3 linked regions of the Anolis sagrei genome follow. The protein of the gene in region 3 purifies or fractionates together with the protein of the main gene of each other region. This does not show direct contact. Links are inferred from orthologs where the notes say so. Each region holds a gene or a part of one and is shown on either strand. Other genes may lie near its edges. The genes, in order: STK38, STK38L and MOB2.

The links.
Region 1: the proteins of MOB2 (region 3) and STK38 purify together in Homo sapiens (affinity purification with mass spectrometry; 7 studies listed by BioGRID and IntAct, with this or other methods). This does not show direct contact. The link is inferred for Anolis sagrei from reciprocal best matches to the Homo sapiens genes MOB2 and STK38.
Region 2: the proteins of MOB2 (region 3) and STK38L purify together in Homo sapiens (affinity purification with mass spectrometry; 9 studies listed by BioGRID and IntAct, counting the BioPlex papers as one, with this or other methods). This does not show direct contact. The link is inferred for Anolis sagrei from reciprocal best matches to the Homo sapiens genes MOB2 and STK38L.

Annotation. Positions count from the first base shown.
Region 1 is NC_090024.1:187,272,134-187,279,268, forward strand, and holds the start of STK38 (serine/threonine-protein kinase 38), read left to right. Parts: upstream 1-4,104; 5' UTR 4,105-4,315; intron 4,316-7,135. UniProt on the Homo sapiens protein: Serine/threonine-protein kinase that acts as a negative regulator of MAP3K1/2 signaling. Converts MAP3K2 from its phosphorylated form to its non-phosphorylated form and inhibits autophosphorylation of MAP3K2.
Region 2 is NC_090025.1:91,934,984-91,942,471, forward strand, and holds the start of STK38L (serine/threonine-protein kinase 38-like), read left to right. Parts: upstream 1-4,391; 5' UTR 4,392-4,498; intron 4,499-7,488. UniProt on the Homo sapiens protein: Involved in the regulation of structural processes in differentiating and mature neuronal cells.
Region 3 is NC_090021.1:243,704,651-243,711,677, reverse strand, and holds the start of MOB2 (MOB kinase activator 2), read left to right. Parts: upstream 1-4,016; 5' UTR 4,017-4,143; coding exon 4,144-4,253; intron 4,254-7,027. UniProt on the Homo sapiens protein: Stimulates the autophosphorylation and kinase activity of STK38 and STK38L.

The sequences.
Region 1 (7,135 bases), on a different chromosome or scaffold from region 3:
ATAAACAAATGCTAAATGTATACATACATACTTCAACTACAAATGCAGTATTGATATTGCTTTGTTTTCCAGATCAACAGCAATATCAACATTTAACTTCCAATGATGGTGAGAGCTCTGTAAAAATCAACTGTTTAAATGCAGATAGATAGATGGATGGATGGATAGATAGACATCGCATCTCACACAGTGATTTGGCTTAAACAACCGTTCTATTTTCAGTCTCCTGGAATATACAATCGTATATGCTATTTGCATGGACTATATCAAAATGTTGTACTTTTGTTTACTGTAGCCATCTAAATAAAAATAAAGCAAGGCTATATTTCATTACCAGATACATGTGTTTAAAGAAATGGAATGAAAGTTACGGATAAAAACATTCTCAAAAATATTATTGGGTGCCTTTAGCTTTGGCAGTGGAGACAAGATAATGCCTTCCATAGTTATGGACAAATTTCCTGTCATCATCATCTCCTCAGTAATATCAAACTGCAGGTGGATTTAGAATCAGACATGAATTTTTCATCTAAGTGTCACATTTAAGTCCAAAATATTTGTAATTGTTATGATGACTAATTCTAGGAAACTTCAACACAATTCAAATTCTACATCAGGAAGTACAGACATATGGCAGTCTAAGGTCACCAGCATGACTAACATACAGTTCCAAAGAAGTTATAGGAGATAAGGCTTTGCTGAGAAACTGAAAGTCTTTACAGAAACTGTGAAGGAAGTTAAGGAGAGTTATAGTAACTAAGGCCGGTGGCAAGTATCAAAATTTATGTTCATCAGGCACATCCTTCCATTATCTACACAGTCTTTTTGTTATTGCTGCCAATCTGAGAAGATCATCAAGACAGAATTTAGCTACTCCCCCTTTTGGTTCCTGGAATGACAAAGTGTGTTGTACTGAAGTATACATGATTTGTCAGTCTTAATCATATTAGCCTTTGCAGGATAAACAATGAAGATTCCTATAGTACCATATGTAAGCATATGCCAGGTTTATCTCACATACATCAGAGCTTTCCAAACTGTGTGTTGCAACACATTAGTGTGTCCGCTTCAGTGTGTGTGTCATGTGAACAGAATGGGATATGACATGTTATTATCTTACAAACAATATTTTTAAAAATATAAATGAAATGTTTTCATGGTATCTGTTCCCTTACATTTCATTATTACAGAGAGAGAGAGAGAGAGAGAGAGAGAGAGCATGTGTTGGTGTGTGTGTGTGCATCCATATCTCTTATAAGGGGTTGGTTTAATATCTGGTTTGCTAATAGAACTGAATTACTGTGTCACAAAATGATGAATGTCTAAAAAGTGTCTCACCAACATGAAATGCTTGGAAAGCTCCACATTGGATAAATCTGACATATGGTTGTTTCCACAGTACCGTTCATAATGTTTAAATAATGTGGACTACCATCTGATTAAAAACTCTTGAGCATCATAGCTCAAGAGAAGAGAGTTGTGATGGAAAGCTGAATTATCAAAAGATGGTGCAATATTTTCTCTTGCATTGCAATATAATAATAAGAATTGTACTAGCAGAGCTCTGATCCCCCAAGTTTTGAAAAAAATAGGGATTAATTTCTGTATCAAAACAATACTTCTCATTGAATTGTGAAACTTTTCTCCCAGTAAACACACCTAAAATTATTTATGTGATTCTGAAAAAGTAAGTATAATTAAGAGGAAGCAATGATTTTATTATTTTTTATCATTCTTATTAATTTCACTGAAAACAGTGAAAGTAACATGTTAATATTTTAATCTGAGAAAGGTTTTTTTGATTGAAGGTCACATGATCAGGAAATTTCTCTGGATCGTTAGATTCAAGGAAGATAGTAACACATTAAAAACAATACATGCTACAAACAATACAAACAATACAAAGATCATAATAAAACCGTAAGAATAAAAAGCAAGTAAAACAGATTTATTTAATTTAAACATTAAAATACATTAAAAACTACATGGAACCCCTTCAAAAATCTTCAAAACGGAACCATGCAGCATTGGCACCCTAGCTGTCATCAATATGTAAAGAACTGCAATGAAACACAAGTGTATTTACCTGCTTCCAGAAGGAGAGTAAGGATGGAGCCACCGGGACCTTTCTAGGGAGAGATTTCCAAAATCTGGGAGCCATCGCCAAAAAGGCCTCTCCCTTGTTCCCAGGGGCAGGAAGAATATAAAAGAAAATAATTGGGCAACATCCTTAAGAGTAAATGCTCTTTATTTTTGCATGAGCTTTCATGGATACGAACTCATTACTTTGCCTGGAGCACAGAATGATAAGAAATGTCGAGTATAAAACATATTTATAGGATTAAATGTAATAGGATCCAGAAAAATGCAAATTGTGTTGCCCCGGTTTTTCCAAGGGCTGCTTAAAGTGATACAAGATTCAGATACATAATTCTTCTCACTAAGGGATGTGCATCTACACTGTAAAATCAATGCAGTGTGATACCCCTTTAAATTACATTCAAAATATGTGTGTAAGGTTTGCATCAAATTAAGCTTTGCAAGTTCTTTCACCTTGCCTGCTAAAAACTGCTAGTGGCTCACCAAACTACAACTACCAGGATTCCATAGCACTGTGCTAAGGCAGTTAAAAGTGGAGTCAAACTGCATAATTTTACAATGTAAATCAGGCATGAGCAAACTTCGGCCCTCCAGGTGTTTTGGACTTCAACACCCACAATTCCTAACAGCCTACTGGTTGTAAGAAATTGTGGGAGTTGAAGTCCAAAACACCTGGAGGGCCGAATTTTGCCCATTCCTGTTCTAACTATTCTACCTTCCATTCCACCTATTTTGAATTTATTCATTCATTTACATCCCACTTTCTCTCTCCATAAGAAGACTCAAAGTAGCTCAGTCAAAAACATTACAACTTCAAATATACAATAATAAAACAGTATATAATTATATATTGTCAGTACTGTTATATTTAATATATTAGTATTATTACAGTATTATTATATTATTAGTATTATATTGCATTACATTATATTATCAATATTATATAAATACAATATATTATTAGCCTAGCAGAATGTTAGTATTATATATTACTGTATTGCGATATACCACTGTACTGCAAGATTATTAGTAATATTACATGTAATATATAATACACAATTAATATATTATTATATTGTACTATGTTCTTACTTACTTTACTACGAGCCCCTGTGCCAGCAGGACTGAACGTTCGAATCTGGAGAGTGTGCATATGAGTTCTCTCTTTCAGCTCCAGCTACCCATGAGAGGATATGAGAGTAGCCTCCCACAAGGATGATAAAACATCAAAACATCCGGGCGTCCTCAGGGCAAGGTCCTTGCAGACAGCCAATTCTCTCATACCAGAAGCGACTTGCAGTTTCTCAAGTTACTCCAGACAAGACCAAAAAACCCCAACAACAACCTTACTTTACTTACATACTTACTTAGGCGATCCCTCATAGCTTCAGGATGATGGTCCTCCAAATGTGGTGTCTTGGCGGTGGGTCTGTAGGTGGCTGTTTTGACCTGCATGTTCTCCCACAGTGAGGACATTGGTTTCCAGGTGGAAGGCAGTTCCAATCAGGGTTGGCTTGATATGCCTTCCTCTTGGCACGTTTCTCCCTTTCGCCTTCCATTCGTGCCTCTTCAAATTATGCAGCACTGCTGGTCACATCTGCCCTCCAGTTAGAGCACTCAAAGGCTTATGTTATTATACCACAAGATATAATACACTGCCAGTATATTATACTATTAGTATTATATAACATATTGTACTATATCATAAGTAGTAGTATATGTAATATACATTATATTACAACATTATTAATACTATATATATTAGTATTACTACATTACAATGTTATTATTTCGAATTATATGTTACTTCTCATTCTAACTATTATTCTATTCTTCTCATTCTACCTATTACGCGTGGGTACAACCTGCCCACTCTCTCTCTTTCCCACCCAACTTCCTCCTACGTAAACCAAACCCCGTAAAAGTCTACCGAGAAGAGGAGGAGACGGAAAGAGATTGGCGCATGCGCATCGCCGTCCCCGCCCCTTCGGGCCACAAGCGGGGCGGGGATGGGACCCAGGCAGAGGGAGAAGGAGATCCGCCGCGCATGCGCACTGGGCCAGGGCTTCGAGCTCGCGCTTTCCTGGGGCGGGATGAAGAAGAAGAGAGCGAGGGGCTGAAAGAGCAGGCCTGAGGGAGACACTTCCTGCAGTTCCTGGGCTGCTCCGCGCCTCGCCGCCGTCACCCCCTCGCTCTAGGAGGGGCGGGGTCCCCGGTAAGTTGTCCCCACCTCTTCTGCCTTCCAGGGGGTCGCTTTCCCTCACTCTCTCCTCAGACCCCAAAGCTTTTGCCCCTTCAGGCGAGGGGCCCCCTCCTCTCCGTTTCCATGGCAACCTGGCCTAGCTCCTCTGCCTTCGCCTCTGCTCGTGTTTCCCCTCATTTTCTGTGCGGAGCGTGGCCTCTCCCAACTCTTTCCTTTCCTCCTCTCCCCCCCCCCCCTCCTCAACACCTGCTTGGGTCTTCTCACAACTTTTTGGGATGGTTCATACTGGGTTCCCAATGATGCATAACTACCTAAATTAAACTTTCAAGTTCCTATAGTTGTTACAGGTGGAATATTGGACTATCCCTCTTATGAAAGGGACAGAAGTGTGTAGGATTTTAGGGTCCCCCCCCCCCCTTTCATTCCTATTTTGAAATACTTACATAGGGTAATGAGATAGCTTGAAGATGGGACTCCAGCATAAAACTCCCAACATAAAATTTATCCCCCTACCAACCCCAGAGATTACCTCGGTCCAAGGACCAAAATTTGCTTGAAGTCCCCAACATCCGGACTTATCATCTGTCCTCTACTAGGCAGAGAGCCTTCTCGATTGTGGCCCCTTATTTATGGAATGCCTTGCCAGTTGAAACCCGAACCATCCGAGAGCTACTTGCTTTTCGGAAAGCCTGTAAAGCCTTTCTTTTCCGACAAGCTTTCGATGGGTGAATAACTCGGGACTATGTCTGTTTCGCGTTTTTATTGTATTTTAAAGTTGGTTGTATTGTTTTAATCTACTGCTACAGCAGTAGATTAAAACAATACAACCAACTTTAACCAACCACTCCGAGCCAAATTGGGAGTGGCGGTATACAAGCCAAATAAATAAATAAATAAATATACACCTTATACCAGGCATGGGCAAAGTTTGCCCCTCCAGCTTGCTTCATCTTCAATGTGACATCCTTTCATGGCTATATCACAGACATGGGCAAACTTGGGCCCTCCTCCAAGTGTTTTGGACTTCAACTGCCACAATTCCTAACAGCCACAGGCCCCTACCTTTTCCCCCTCTGCCGCTTAAGGAAGGGGGCTGAGGCTGTTAGGAATTGTGGGAGTTGAAGTCCAAAACATTTGGAGGAGGGCCCAAGTTTGCCCATGCCTGCCTTATACACACATTCAGATTGAATAAAACCCATATGAAATACTTAGGGCAGGGGTCCTCAGACTAAGGCCCGGATATGGCCCTCCAAGGTCATTTACCTGGCCCTCGTTCAGGGTTAGCCTAAGTCTGAAACAACTTGAAAGCATACAACAACAATCCTATCTCATCAACCAAAAGCAGGCCCACACTTCTCATTGAAATACTAATAAGTTTATATTTGTTAAAATTGTTCATCATTTTAATTATTGTACTGTTTTTAAGTGTTATTGCACTACAAATAAAATATGTGCAGTGTGCATAGGAATTCATTCTTTTTTCCCCCCAAATTATAATCTGGCCCTCCAACAGTTTGAAGGACTGTGACCTGGCCCTCTGTTTAAAAAGTTTGATGACCCCTGACTTAGGGTCAGAAGACTGGTTTTGGAATGCAGGCAGTCTCCAAGTTACAAACAAGATAGGTTCTGTAGGTTTGTTATTAAGTTGAATTTGCATGTTAGTTGGAACAGGTACATTTCGTAAGTGTGATAATAATATAATGCTTTATTTATATTCTGCCCCTTTTCACCAAGGGGACTCAGGGAAGCTTAATAAACTTATAATAATAAACTTAATTTATGGGTTGTTGTAGGTTTTTCGGGCTGTATGGCCATTTTCTAGAAGCATTCTCTCCTGGCGTTTTGCCTGCATCTATGGCAAGCATCCTCAGAGGTTGTGAGGTCTGTGGTTGTGCAGGCAAAATGTCAAGAGAGAATGCTTCTAGAACATGGCCATATAGCCCAAAAAACCTACAACAACACAGTGATTCTGGCCATGAAAGCCTTCGACAATACATTTAACTCAATTTATATCCCATCCCCTCTTCACAATGATTCAGAGCGGCTCACAACAGTATCAAGTCACATTACATACATACACAGAAACCAAAAAGACAAGAATGTAACCAGCAAGAGGAAACAATGTACATAATAGCAGTCACACTTACAATCCAAAAAGGGTGAAATCAAACAAACAAATAAAGACAAATAAAAACTGTACCTCTCTATATATATATGAGTGAGGCGAAGTCTTCTGAACAGGTCACAGCAAAACAAACAGCACAGGGTTGTTAACTCCTCATCCCTATGCTATCCAAGCATATGTAGATCGATAGATAACTTGGGTAGCAATACCTAATAAAATACCTTTGAGGTGGAACCCTACTCTAAACATTGGATTCATTTATTGGATTCATATACACCTTATATGCATAGCCTGAAAGTGTTTTATACACAGTGTTTTTAATAATTTTGTGCATGAAGCAAAATTTGGTTACATTGAACAATTGAAAAGTAAATGTATCACTGTCTCAGCCACCATATGGACACTTCTGGAAGTCTGAATAAAGGGTGCTCAACCTGTAAGATCGCATTCATGATTTTTCCTCTACTCTTGAGAATAATGATTTTTTGGAGGGAATAAACTCCCAATGTGCTTAAGATAGCAGGCTCCTGTGTGCCTTGTTAGCCAGCATGCATAGTAGAAAACTCTGCTTCCTGCTCACCAAATGACATCATTTAATTCTGTTTCATCGTTATTATCAGAAACAGAAACTTTTAGCTGTTGAAAAGGATCTATGGTTTCTTTGAATCACAAAAAGAAATTGTACTATGCGATGTATTTTTTTCAGA
Region 2 (7,488 bases), on a different chromosome or scaffold from region 3:
TTAGGCAAGCCCCCACCCTGGCAATCTTTAGGAAGAGCCTGAAAACTTGGTTGTTCCAGTGTGCCTTCAATGACTGAATAAACATTAACTCCTGACCAAACTCTGCATAAAATGCCCTTTAAAAAAGGTAAAGGTAGTCCCCTGACATTAAGTCCAGTCATGTCTGACTCTGGGGTGTGGTGCTCATCTCCATTTCTAAGCCGAAGAGCCAGCGTTGTCCGTAGACACCTCCAAGGTCATGTGGCCGGCAAGAAGCACTTTATTTTCTGGTACGTGCAATTCAATCTTGCCTTATCCCCCAGATCCCCTGTCCTGATATATTACATTGCCCTATCACTCAGTGGTTTTAAAATTTTAATCTTTGAAACTAGCCCTGCCCACTGTGATCATTTTTAGTGTTTAATGTTCTGATTTTATAGTGTTGTGCTGTTATGCATATTGGTTTTGTAATTGATGTCACTTTATTTTTTATTTTTGTTGTGTTTTTGTGTTGTACTGTGTTATTATACTGATGGGCATGGCCTTATGTAAGCCACCCAGAGTCCCCTTGGGGAGATAGTGGCGGGGTATAAATAAAGTTTAATAATAAAAATAAAAATGGTGGTCCATGGATACTAGGGTTTCCACCTAGGGAACTGGGGCACCCACAGGGGTGGGGGTTGGTGAAAGGGTTTCAGGGAGATTCAAGGATGGTTAGAATGGGGGGGGGGGGAGGGGAGGGAGAGAATAGGCCCATTCTGTAGAGCTGTATCATAGCTGGTTAATCGCCAGCAGCAATAGGTTACTGCCAACTGGGAAGTGGCAAGTTTGAAGCCCGAGTCGGATTGAACTCCCAACTGTTAAGCCTACTTAGTGTCCACCTAAGCAGTTTGAAAACAGCTGAGCCGTGTGTAGAGAAATTAGGTAACACTTAAAGCGGGGAGGTGTTTTATGGCACCATAAAAATGCCGGCAATCAAAGAACAAGGAGGAAATATGATCAAAATGACTTTGCATTATAGTGGATGAAGCGACAGCACACTGCTGCCATCCCACAGCCGGAATCAAGCATAACCTCAAGGAACTGAAGTTGGAAATGCCAAAATACCTCTATCTGTCTGTCTTGTATGTCTAAAAATGGCATAGAATGATTGCTGTGTATGTGTGCATTGTGATCTGCCCTTAGTCCCTTTTGGGGTGAGAAGGACGGAGTATAAATACTGTAAATAAATAAAGACATTTTGAGGGCAATGGAGGGCTGTGGGGGGCACTTGGGTCATGAGGCACAAGCAGCCACCAGGCTGGGTGAAAACAAGAGAAAAGAACTCAAAGAGATTAAAAGAGATACAGAGAAGTAAAAGTAAAGGGTAACCATGTTTATTTAGGGGTTAGAAACACTACAACTAATAATAAAGGGGAAGATTGCTGTCAAAAATATCCAAACCTGCTGGGCTCCTCTAGTCTGTTGATTGTCCGCAAAATGGGAGTTTAAAAATAAGCACATTGCAAATAAGTTGATTTTCTTACTATTGGCTTTCTTCAAAGTTCAGCTTTCACAGAAATGTACATAGAAATGAGAACCATAACCGAATGGACAATTACAAATGTACTATTCAATGATATATTTTTACGTCTTGTTGAGTTCCATTATAGATTCCTTCTGAGAGTGCATCTACACTGTAGAATTAATGCGGTTTGCCACCATTTTAACTGCAATGACTCGATGCTATGGAATTCTGGGAACTGTAGTTGCAGAAGCTCAATAGTGTAGCTCAATTTGGCACCAATTTAAGTGCTATGATTCAATGCTATGGAATTCTGGGAGCTATAGTTATGCAAGCTGTAGAGCAAGGGTGTCCAAACTTTTGATGAGTGCCAGTTCATGGTTCCTCAGCTTGTTGGGAGGGGGCAGTCTGAAAAAAGCATGAACACATTCATATGCACACTGCATATGTCTCAATTGTGGTGCAGCTGGCTGAGTGTCAGCTGCATTAAGATCACTCTGACCAAAAAGGTCATGAGTTCAAAGCCAGCCCGGGTTGGAGTGGGTTTCCAACCAATTGTGTGTAGCCTGTTGTTGACCTTTGCAACCCGAAAGACAGTTGCATCTGTCAAGTAGGAAAATAAGGTACCACCTTAAAGTGTGGGGAGGCTAAATTAACTGATTTGTGAGGCCATAAAGAAGACTCCAGCAAAGCATTCCAGTGGGAAAGCATGCAGGGAATGCAGAAGTGCTTCATCAGCATCGCAGATGGATGATGAAAGTGATAGCTCCCCTGGCGGCCAGAAAAAGTTAAATAGCCTCTGTCTATGTCTGTATATCTTTGTATGTCAAAAATTGGCATTGAATGTTTGCCATATATGTGTACACTATAATCCGCCCTGAGTCCCCTGCGGGGTGAGAAGGGCGGAATAGAAAAGCTGCAAATAAATAAATAAATAAATAAATAGTGCAAAAATAACCATGAAAGAACGATCTATATATTATCTATATATATTTAATATATATATTTAAAAGTCAGTGTTCATATGTATGTTTGGATGTGGCAGCTTTCTGATTGGCTGCCACTTCCACAGACCACTGCAACTCCCACATATGATGGACCTGGACCAAACTTGGCACACATAAACCCCATGAGAGAGAAAAGAAGTGAAGAAGGAAAAAAGCAAGGGAGGGAGGCCTTGGAGAGGGCAGGTGGAAATTTGAACAGGGGTCACAATTAGCCTCTGGGCCAGACTTTGGACATGCCTGCTCTAGAGCTTGATCTGCCAAAGAGGGCTGATGCCTCTCCAAACTACATCTACCATTTTTTTGGTCATGTAAGAAGCGACTTGAGAAACTGCAAGTCACTTCTGGTGTGAGAGAATTGGCCATCTGCAAGGACATTGCCCAGGGGATGCCTGGATGTTTTGATGTTTTATCATCCTTGTGGGAGGCTTCTTTCATGTCCCCACATGAGGAGCTGGAGTTGATTTAAAAGCTTCCAAAGAAGGAGCCTCCACCACATTCTGGGGCAGAGAGTTCCACTGCTGAACGGCTCTCACAGTCAGGAAGTTATTCCTCATGTTCAGATGGAATCTCTTCTCTTGTAGTTTGAAGCCATTGTTTCGTGTCCTAGTCTCCAAGGAAGCAGAAAACAAGCTTGCTCCCTCCTCCCTGTGGCTTCCTCTCACATATTTATACATGGCTATCATATCTCCTCTCAGCCTTCTCTTCTTCAGGCTAAACATGCCCAGCTCCTTAAGCCAAGCCGTTTTCAAGGGCAGCCCCACGTAGAGCGCATCACAGTAGTCCAATCTAGAGGTGACCAAGGCATGGACCACCCCGGCCAGATCAGCCTTCACGAGGTACAGTCGCGGTTGGCACACGAGTCTCAATTGTGCAAAAGCCCTCCCGGATACCGCTGAGCCTCAAGCGTAAGTGATGAATCCAATAGGACTCCCAAACTGCGGACCTGTGGCTTTAGGGGGTGTGTAACCCCGTCCATGAGGTCTCTTCCAACTCTTTGGAAGCCTGAAGAAGAGAAGGCTGAGAGAAGATATGATAGCCATGTATAAATATGTGAGAGGAAGCCACAGGGAGGAGGGAGCAAGCTTGTTTTCTGCTTCCTTGGAGACTAGGACGCGGAACAATGGCTTCAAACTATAAGAGAGGAGATTCCATCTGAACATTAAGAAGAACTTCCTGTGAGAGCCGTTCAGCAGTGGAACTCTCTGCTCCGGAGTGTGGTGGAGGCTCCTTCTTTGGAAGCTTTTAAACAGAGGCTGGATGGCCATCTGTCAGGGGTGATTTGAATGCAATATTCCTGCTTCTTGGCAGGGGGTTGGACTGGATGGCTCATGAGGTCTCTCCCAACTCTTTGAGTCTAAGTGTCTGGACTGACCTTGAAGGAGCTGAGGGTGGTGACGGCCGACAGGGAGCTCTGGCGTGGGCTAGTCCATGAGGTCACGAAGAGTCGGAGATGACTGAACGAATGAATAACAACAGATATTATTCTCTCACACACACAGATATAGTATCATAGATTTTAAAGAGACCCATAAAGAAGGATTATGATATGTTGCAGATTCCAGAGCAGGCAAACCAGACACTCTCCACATCAACACTGGCAAAGAAACAGCAAGAAATACTGTTTACCCACAAGTATAAAGAAATTACGTATATTAGAAACCAACACTTTCTCATTACTTTATTTTCCAGATCACCAGACTGGGCCACAGCAACGCGTGGCAGGGGACAGCTAGTACCGGGCCTTTCTCCTCCTCTCAAGGTACTCAGATGAACTTCGGCGCGAGCACTCAGCCCGCCCACTTTCTAAGCCTCTCCACGTGGGCAGCCTCTTCGCCACGCCCCATTCTTCCCAGGAGCCAATCACCAGCGGTGGCGCCTCTCTCCTGCTTCCCCTTTCTCGCGCCGGGTCTCCACGCTCTCGCGAGAGTGTGTTAGTAAACAGTTCGACCCCGCAGCCTCATTCTAGGCGCCGGAGAGGGAGCCGGGCGAGAGGGAGAAGCGGCTGAAGGTAAGGTCTTCGGGGAAGGAGGAATGGGGAAGGAATGACGGAGCGGAGGCCCTCAGGCTCCCTCAGAGAAGGAAGGAAAGGGGGTCGGCCTGACTGGGGTCATCCTTGTGTCACGCCTCCTGAGGGAAGTCACCCTCCTGGCCTCACACCACAGACTCGCAGTGGGCCAGCCTGAAGGGAGGAGTCCCAAGCCAAGGAGAAAAGGACGGGGAAGAATCCTGCATAATATCTATCATATGAAGAATCCTCTGCGTGTTTGAAATTACATTTCACCCTGTATTCCGTTTCTCTCCTTATGCTGAAGGAATGTATGGACATAATAGTAGTAATAATAATAGTACTGACAATAGGTGCTCTCTTGGCAGTGCAGCCTGAATGGCAAAGGCTCAGGGAATGGCCGCCTCCTCCCCCTACCTGGGGAAGGGATTGCTTTGAGCCACCCATCTGCCTCCCAGGCCCAGGGAGATTAGCTGGGAAGCTGCTCCTTGAACCGGTTTTTTCAAAGCCTCCTACCCTGGCAGGAAAGGTGGTTCTTGGACGAGAGCCGGAAGTGCTTTGCAGCCCCACACATGCACCAAGTCACCTTCAGGTTGGACCCCAAAGCCTCGTGGTTTCACAGCATCCGTGGGGTTGGGTTTCAAGTGCATGTGCACATTCAAACCTCTGGTGCAGTCTCAAAATACACAGTTGTAATGAAATGCTCCACTCTCAATGGGTTGTCTTTGATTTGAATTGGGCAATCAAAGAGGCATCTGGTTGACCTGTGTGAAAGTTAAGACCAACAACCACCATGTCAGACTACACAGAGAAGCCATTGAAATCCACAAGCATGTGGACAATTTCAACAGAAAGGAAGAGACCATGAAAATGAACAAAATCTGGCTACCAGTATTAAAAAACTCTAAAATTATAACAGCTAAACAACAGAGAGGAAAAAACCAGGCACAGATTAACACCTCCCAGCAACAGATTTTCCCAGGCTCAGGAAGGCCTTCAAATGCTAATGAAGGTGATCAGCTAAACATTCACACCTAACTGCAGCAGGGAAGAGCTCCTTGCCCCACCCCAGCCATTCCACAGATATATAAACCCATTTTTCCTACTTCCAACAGACCTCACAACCTCTGAGGATGCTTGCCATGGATGCGGGCGAAACGTCAGGAGAAATGCCTCTAGAACATGGCTCTATAGCCCCAAAAAACCCACAAGAACCTAGTGATTCCAGCCATGAAAGCCTTCGACAATACATTAAGACCTATGTCTTTAAGGCAGTGGTTTGTTTGTTTATTTATTTACTGCGCTTATATACCGCAATTCTCAGCCCAAGGGCGACTCATTGCGGTGTACAACATGAAAAAACAAGTGCAATCTACAAAGCATAGTGCAAAACATTCCACAATTCATCATAATCATAAAAAACATCTTATCAAAACAACATTACTACAAAATTACTACTACATTCCGAATCGTCTCATTGTCAGACCACAATCCGATATCATTTCCGTTGTTCCATTCCTATGGTCAATTGCCAGTCATTGCACTTCTTGATCAAATGCCTTCTTAAATAGCCAGGTCTTTAACTTCCTGCGGAATATTAGCAGGGAGGGGGCTAGCCTGATGTCCACAGGAAGGGTGTTCCACAGCCAAGGAGCCACCACCGAGAAGGCCCTCTCTCTCGGCCCCGCCAGCCGTGCCTGTGACGCAGGCGGGATCGAGAGCAGGGCCTCCCCGGAAGATCTCAAGGTCCTTGTGGGCTCATAGGCCGAGAGGCGGTCAGTTAGGTATTTTGGGCCGGAACCATTTAGGGCTTTATAGGCCAACACCAGCACCTTGAATTGAGGCCGGTAGCAGATCGGCAGCCAGTGGAGCTGGTACAGCAGGGGGGTTGTATGCTCCCTACGTCCCGCTCTACGACCCCAGGTTGGTTCTCAACCTGGGGTCCCCAGATGTTTTTGGCCTTCAACTCCCAGAAATCCTAATAGCTGGTAAACTGCCTGGGATTTCTGGGAGTTGTAGGCCAAAAACAGCTGGGGACCCCAGGTTGAGAACCACTGCTTTAAGGAGTTTATGAATTACTAGCCGTCCCCTGCCACACGTTGCTGTGGCCCACATGGGGGTTCTGTGTGGGAGGTTTGGCCCAATTCTATCGTTGGTGGGGTTCAGAATGCTCTGTGATTGTAGGTGAACTATAAATCCCAGCAACTACAACTCCCAAATGTCAAGATTCTATTTCCCCCAAACTCCACCAGTGTTCACATTTGGGCATATTAAGTATTTGTGTAGAGTTTGGTCCAGACTCATCATTGTTTGAGTCCACAGTGATCTCTGGATGTAGGTGAACTACAACTCCAAAACCAAAGGACACTGCCCACCAAACCCTTCCAGTATTTTCTGTTGGCCATGGGAGTACTGTGTGCCAAGTGTGGTTCATTTTGGTTCATTTCAATCGTTGGTGAGGCTGAGAATGCTCTTTGATTGTAGATGAACTATAAATCCCAGTAAGTATAACTCCCAAATGACAAAATCAATTTTTTTTAGTGAAGGACATCCATTGGGCTGTTAGGTGTCTTGTGTCCAAATTTGGTGTCAATTCGTCCAGTGGTTTTTGAGTTTTGTGAATACCACAAACGAACATTACATTTTTATTTATATAGATCAGGGGTCCTCAAACTAAGGCCCAGGGGCCAGATGCAGCTCTCCAAGGTAATTTACCCGGCTCTTGCTCAGGGTCAACCTAAGTCTGAAACAACTTGAAAGCACACAACAATAACAACAATCCTATCTCATCAGCCAAAAGCAGGCCCACACTTCCAATTGAAATACTAATAATTTTATATTTGTTAAAATTGTTCTTCATTTTAATTATTTTTAAGTGTGTTTTTTTTGCACTACAAATAAGATATGTGCAATATGCGTAGGAGTTCATTCATGTTTGTTTCAAATTATAATCCGGTCCTCCAACAGTTTGAAAGACTGTGACCTGGCCCTCT
Region 3 (7,027 bases):
AGTCAGCCTTCCCAAGGTACGGACGCAGCTGGCGCACAAGTTTTAATTGTGCGAAAGCTCCCCTGACCACCGCTGAAACCTGGGGTTCCACGCTCAGCGATGAATCCAGGAGAACTCCCAGACTGCGTACCTGTGCTTTTAGGGGAAGTGTGACCCCGTCCAGCACAGGCTGTAACCCCGTACCCTGTTCGGTCTTACGACTGACCAGGAGTACCTCTGTCTTGTCTGGATTTAGTTTCAATCTGTTGTCCCTCATCCAGTCCGTGACAGCGGCCAAGCACCAGTTCATGACCTGAACAGCCTCCTTAGTGGCAGGTGGAAAAGAGTGATAGAGTTGGACATCATCTGCATACAGATGACATCGCACCCCAAAACTCCGGATGATCTCTCCCAACGGCTTCATGTATATGTTAAACAACATAGGGGACAGTATTGAGCCCTGCGGGACTCCACAGTGCAATGGCCGAGGAGTCGAGCAGGAGTCCCCTAGTGACACCTTCTGGGAGCGACCCTCGAGAAAGGACCGGAGCCACTGCAAGGCAGTACCCCCAAGACCCATTCCCGTGAGGCGTCCCAGAAGGATACCGTGGTCGACGGTATCGAAGGCCGAAGAGAGGTCCAGCAGAACCAACAGGGTCTCCCTGTCCAGTTCCCAGCGCAGATCATCAACTAAGGCGACCAAGGCTGTCTCAGTACCATGTCCCGGCCTAAAGCCAGACTGTGACGGATCTAGATAGTCCGTGTCCACTAGGAATTCCTGGAGTTGCGAGGCTACCACACGTTCCAGGACTTTGCCCAAGTAGGGGAGATTGGAGACTGGCCAAAAGTTGACGAATTGAGTGGGGTCTAGTGATGTTTTTTTCAACAGCAGTTTGATGACAGCTTGTTTTAAGCTGGCTGGAATCTTGCCTTCCCGAAGGGAGGCATTAACCACCACCTTTACCCACTCTGCCAAACCCCCTTTGGCTTCTTTTAGCAGCCAGGAAGGTCAGGGGTCTAGGATGCATGTGGTAGGCCTCGCCTCTCCCAGAACCCTGATGACCTCGTCGAGTTGAACAGATCGAAACGCATCCAACAAAACTGGACAAGCAGATGCTTGAGTTACATCCTCAGAGACTGCAGTTAATGTGGTGTCAAAGCCCGCGCGGATCAAAGCGACTTCGTCTGCAAAGTACTGAGCAAATGCTTCACAGTGCGCTGCCGAGTTGTCAGGGGACCCACTCAAGGTGGGATTCAACAACCCTCTGACTACTCGGAACAGCTCTGCCGGACGGTTCCTTGCGGATGCAATATTGGCCGAGTAGAAAGCATTTTGCGCGGCCTCTATTGCCGCGTCATACGCCCTTAGATAGAGGCGTAGGCGTGTTCGGTTTGACTCGCTGGGCTCTTTCCTCCACACGCTCTCTAGCCACCTCTTTGTTTGCTTTAGCTCCACCAGCTCCTCGTTCAACCAAGGGGCCGGTTTCGCTCGATGACTTAAGAGGGGGCGCTCTGGAGCAATCGTGTCTACTGCCCTAGTCAACTCCCTATTCCAGTGAGCGACCAGGGCATTGACAGAATCACCATCCAAGGCAGCGGAAACATCCCCAAGAGCCATCAGGAGTCCTTCTGGATCCATAAGCTTCCTGGGGCGGACCATCTTAATGGGTCCACCACCCCTGCGGAGGTTAGAAGTTGCAGCAAGTCTAAACTTGATCAGGTGGTGGTCAGTCCATGGCAAAGGGGAGATTGATAACTCCTCCACACCGCCACCTTTTTTTTCCAGCCCTGACAGAAGACCAAGTCAAGTGTGTGTCCAGCACAGTGGGAAGGGCCAGATATTAATTGGGACAGCCCCATAGTTGCCATGGAAGCCATGAAGTCCTGAGCCGCTCCTGAAAGAGTGGTCTCTGCATGGACATTGAAGTCCCCCAGCACTACAAGCTGCCGGGACTCCAATGCCAGGCCTGAGACCAACTCTGCAAGCTCAGGTAGGGCGGCCGTGGTGCAGCGGGGTGGTCGGTACACCAACAACAGCCCTATTCTGTCCCGGTCTCCTAGCCTCAGGTGGACACATTCAAACAAGGTCGACTGTAAGGCCGGGCCCCTGACCAAGGAGATGGAATCTTTATAGACTATTGCAACTCCGCCTCCCCGCCCCCCGGGTCTCGGTTGGTGTTGCACGGCATAACCTGGTGGGCAAAGCTGAGTGAGATTAACCCCTCCAGCCTCGTCCAACCAGGTCTCCGTGATGCACGCCAGGTCTGCCTTTTCATCCAGGATTAAATCCTGAATGGTTGATGTTTTACCATTGACAGACCTGGCATTCAACAGCACCACCTTTAATCCGGGAGGACCGTCTACCTTGGAACCCAAGTTTACCATGTCGGGAGGACATTTTGGAATTTTTCTTAAGGTTTGCTCACGAATTGGCCGAATTGGTTTTTTAACTCTCCCTTTCCCGTATCTTGATTAGACTCCTGTGCCTGCTTCATCGCAGACTGCTTCTATAGACAAAGTTTTAGTTCCATTTGGTTTTTACTAATTCTATTTTCACTTACTAATTCTGTTTTCACTTATTTCATATTGCATTTTTAAAGTGACTGTGTATATTATTGGTATAAGTAGGACCATATAATTACTCTTCATAGCCAGCCCTGTTTATGGAGAACAAATTTTCTTAGACTTTCCATAGCTTTCCTCTGTTGACAGACCTGGCATGCTTAAAACAGAGAGATGTAGTGGTAATGAAATTATCACTTTGCCTGCATATTAGCAGTATAATGCAAACCCTAATGTAGAGGCAGTATCATACAATAAGCACAAATGTCACCACAAAGGCAGACATAGTATTTCAGGAGGAAATGTATTGTCTGGATTGTGGTGTTGTATGCAAATTACCACCTTACCCACTTGTTTACCCTCATCACTTAAATCAAGGGTTTATAGTGTGCCACTGTTGACTGGCATTATTCGCGGTTTAGAGAAGGGTGAATGCCATGCCTTCTTGAGCTTGCATCCAGTAAAGTGCTTAATAGAAGCCTTGTGGTACAGAGAATTTGGCATGTGTCAGAGATAGTGCTACACCTTCTGGATGAATGCTATGCATAGGTTGGACATGATTCTGAAAAGTCAAAATACTTTCCAATATAAACTAGATTTATTTCAGCTTAATTATTAACTTTGGCATCCACACTGGGTTTGTCATGCCATGAAGGATCATTTCAAACAAAGCATACTTGATTTGAGGCTGGGTGAAATGGAGTATTATGTGAGAGAGTACATTTATTTCAGGCACATCTGGATGATCTACTTTTTTTCTTTGATTCTAAGACTCACTTTTTTCACCAATGTAAACATTTCTAAAAATGGGGTGCATCTTAGAATCATGGTGCTTCCATATATATTCTGTTGGTGATATTTAAATTAGAGTGATTCTTACAATTAATGGTGTCTTAGAATAGAAGAAATATGATAAATACCTCCTGAAAGGAGTATTTGCAAGTGGTATTGGCTGAATTAGTGGCCTTTCTCTTTAATGTGTGTTTTGATCATACTGATCCTCCCCTATACTATTAGACATACCAGATAGCAATACATAAGTGCTTCCTAGTAAAATGTGTGCATATGAAGTGAAGAATCACTAGATGTGGGCCCCCCTGTGTACTTGAATACCCCACAGATCACAGGCGTTTGAGTGTAAAAGAGCTTCCTCCTTGTTTCTGTTCACTCAGTGTCTCTGTAACACTGCACTGCAAACAGGGCACTTGAAAGATGCTTGCTTGTGCCTCACACTACTTCTCTTGTCCTGTTGCACAGTCGGCGCCAGTCTGAAAAGGCCAATTCAAATGCTTCCTTATTGGCATTGGCTCCTCAGCCTTGGCTTTTACTTAGGGTTTGTAAAAAGGAGCAGCTGTTTGTCTTTTCCAGCCGAATTTTTTCCCCTATTTCCTCTGCCGCTCTGTCATTGGCTGAAGGAAAGAGGGAGGGAAGAAGGCAGGGAGGGTTGGAGTGAAGTAAGCTGTGTAAACTCTGTGAATGTAGTTGGACTAGTTTTTTTTTAGAAGGGAAGGAGAGAGATCTGGTAAAGCGACTCAAGTCTGTACTGGCAGTTCCCAATCCCCCCTCTTCTCCTCATTTTCTCTCTCTTTCTCTCTCTCTAACATGGTTGGGGATCATTGTAATCTCAGCGGCGAAAGACCTGTACTTTCTCAAACTCCCAAAACTGGATTAAGCTGCAAAATGGTCCTACAGGCAGTGGGCAAAGTATTAAGGTAACAACCTCTACAAAATATCATCTTGATGGGAGGGTAAGGAGATGAGAGAGAGAGCTTTTGCCACAATCTCATTCTGGAACATTTTTGTCTCTGAAATAATTCGGGTCCATCTGAACCTTGTAGAGATCAGTGGCAAAACTAGCATTGAATTTAAAGATGCAAAATAGCAGTCTTGATCTTCAGAGACAAATGAGTATAGGAGTGGTTTCAGAAAAAATCTTGTTGAAATGACTGTGGGATGTTTAACCTGGGCTTTCGTGAGGATGACAGTAACTTAAATGGATTGATTTATCCAGCATATTCTGTTGCTTAAAATTCAGATTAAAAAAATGAAAGTAGCATGTGTGTAATTTTTCTCCTTGCTTATTCATCATGTATGCTTTTGCTTACTACCCTTGTTTAACATGAGAAAACCAAATTTGCATCATATATCTCAGCTGTGGCTCTTACAGGATAGGAACTCAACTAAATCTGCAATCCTGTTCGCATTTTAGAGTAAGACCCATAATATGTCTTTTCCCTCCCAGTGATGATGTACAGAAATGGCCTGTTATTTTTTTGTTGTTGTTTCAGAGGTTTTGTTCATAAAATTTGAGTTTTATAAGGCTGTTTGAAATTCAGAAGCATGTTGAAAACTCCATGTACGTTTTACGTAATATTAAGATGAGGGGTCAGGCTTCTGACTAGAAAATATACTTATCCATTGTACCTGCAGGATTTTTTCCCCACTGACACAAAATGGAAAATTACCTTTCAACTGGAGTTTTTCTTATTTAAATCACACACTAATTCTTCTTTAAGGTGGTGTTAAACAGAGCTGTTAAAATCTGGTTACTAGTGGGGAAATGCGAAGCACAGAGCTTGTTTTTGGCAAACTTTGGGGAGTTAGTTCCTACTACTAAAGGCTAATAGTTAAAATATTTTGTCAGCATGAAACTGGTAAAGACTTTTATTAATACCTAAACTTAGTACATAAAATACTTGCTTTAGGACAGCTCCTTCCAAACTGTATTTCGATATGGCATAAGTTGTTTTGAATGCTGTTGCACTCTATTACAAATTCATCTCTTCTTTATCCATTCCAACCTGGTCTCTTATTTATTTTATACCCTTTAGGAACAGATTATAAGTCTTACATGTGTGGCTTGAAAGTAATGACTTTCGGAATTCGCTATACTCTCGTATAATGTACTAATATTTCACAGATTAAGTAAACATTTTAATTCTTCTCTCTTCCTCCCACCTATAATATACTTATATGTGGAGAAAACAAATGTTTTTTTCTATGTCCATCAGAATAAATCTATACAGTATTTTCTTCTAAATATCACTTGCCATGACAGCATTGCTTTCTATCTGAAAGTGACCGAACCTGATTGCATATGTAGTATGTATGACTTGGTTGATGGAGAAAACATAGCTGATTAAGCAATGGGAATTTAAGTCATGAGTAAAACACTAATGATATGGCATATGAGTGAGATCACCTCACTGAGAGTTAAATCTAATGCCTGTCTTTGGGGGTGGAGTTGCGGCTTGCCCATCAGCGTAGGCTGAGATCTTCTGCTGAATCAAACTTCAATTAACAAAGAAGAGAAAATGACATCACCATGGAATCATTTTGTCATTTTTGACTGCTGGAACCTTTTTACATATACTATAGGTTCACTTGTTTAAAAGTGAACCTATAGTATATAGGTTCACTTTCAAAATAAATTGCTGAATAAGAATACACTTTCTCTTTTTTCATGAAAAATTGGGACACATTTAGAGTAGTCAATACTTTGAGATGCCTAAGATGCATTAGACTCCATATGGGGTAGAATGGTGAGGTGTTAATGAACGTATAGGATAAAATACGATGAGCTAGGGAAGAGTGCCATGAAGCAAGATAAGAACAGGACTACCAAAAAGCCAAATCCATGTTTGCATGCATACATAGATAAATACATATCTGCCTTGGTTCAGCTTCCTAAAGAACAAATACTTTATTGGTTCAGTTTCCTAAAGAGCAGTAAACCACATTTTTATTCTTAATAGTTGTGAAAGAGTTATTTGGAAGTAAGTAGTGTCATAATTTGTGATTTCCAGTAATAAGTGATAAGACATCAGTGTCATGTATAGCCTCTTGGCTTCCTCCATAACTAGCAGCAATGAAATAAATTCTATGAGGGAAACTTACTTATATGGTATAATGTATGCAAGTTACATTCTTAGCTTTCCTCTCAATACTAGTTTGGTGTAAGATTATTTTGTTGTGTGTTCACCCCATCTCTTACTCCAAATCTCCGAGCAAGGTGAGTGATGAAATCATAGAGGAAGTGAAAGAAATTTGTATGGTTCATTTGTCTTTCCAAAGAAAAAGAAAGGCAAACAAACAGAAAAATGAAGTAAGCATTGAGACAAATCAAAAACTCACATACGAAATGAGTTACTCTTTATGTATTCAGGTACTTACCTGAAGTGCCAGCAAGAAAGGAAATGAGTAATTAAATATGTCCACATCTCTTTATGTAATTATTTTGCTATCAGCAGGACTGATGAATCGAAAATTTAATAGCTCTGTTTAAAAAAGGGGTACAACTGAAAAGGGTGACTAGAAAAGAAGCTTGGAGCAACAAGTAGGATAGACTGCTCAGCAAAAGTAAATAATTCGGTGTTTAAAAAGATAGATGGCAGTGTGTATGGATCTGTTTGGGATAGCAGATAAAGATTGTGAAAACGTACAACTCTTGACATTGCTTTTAAAGGAACTAGACTGTCCTATTCCT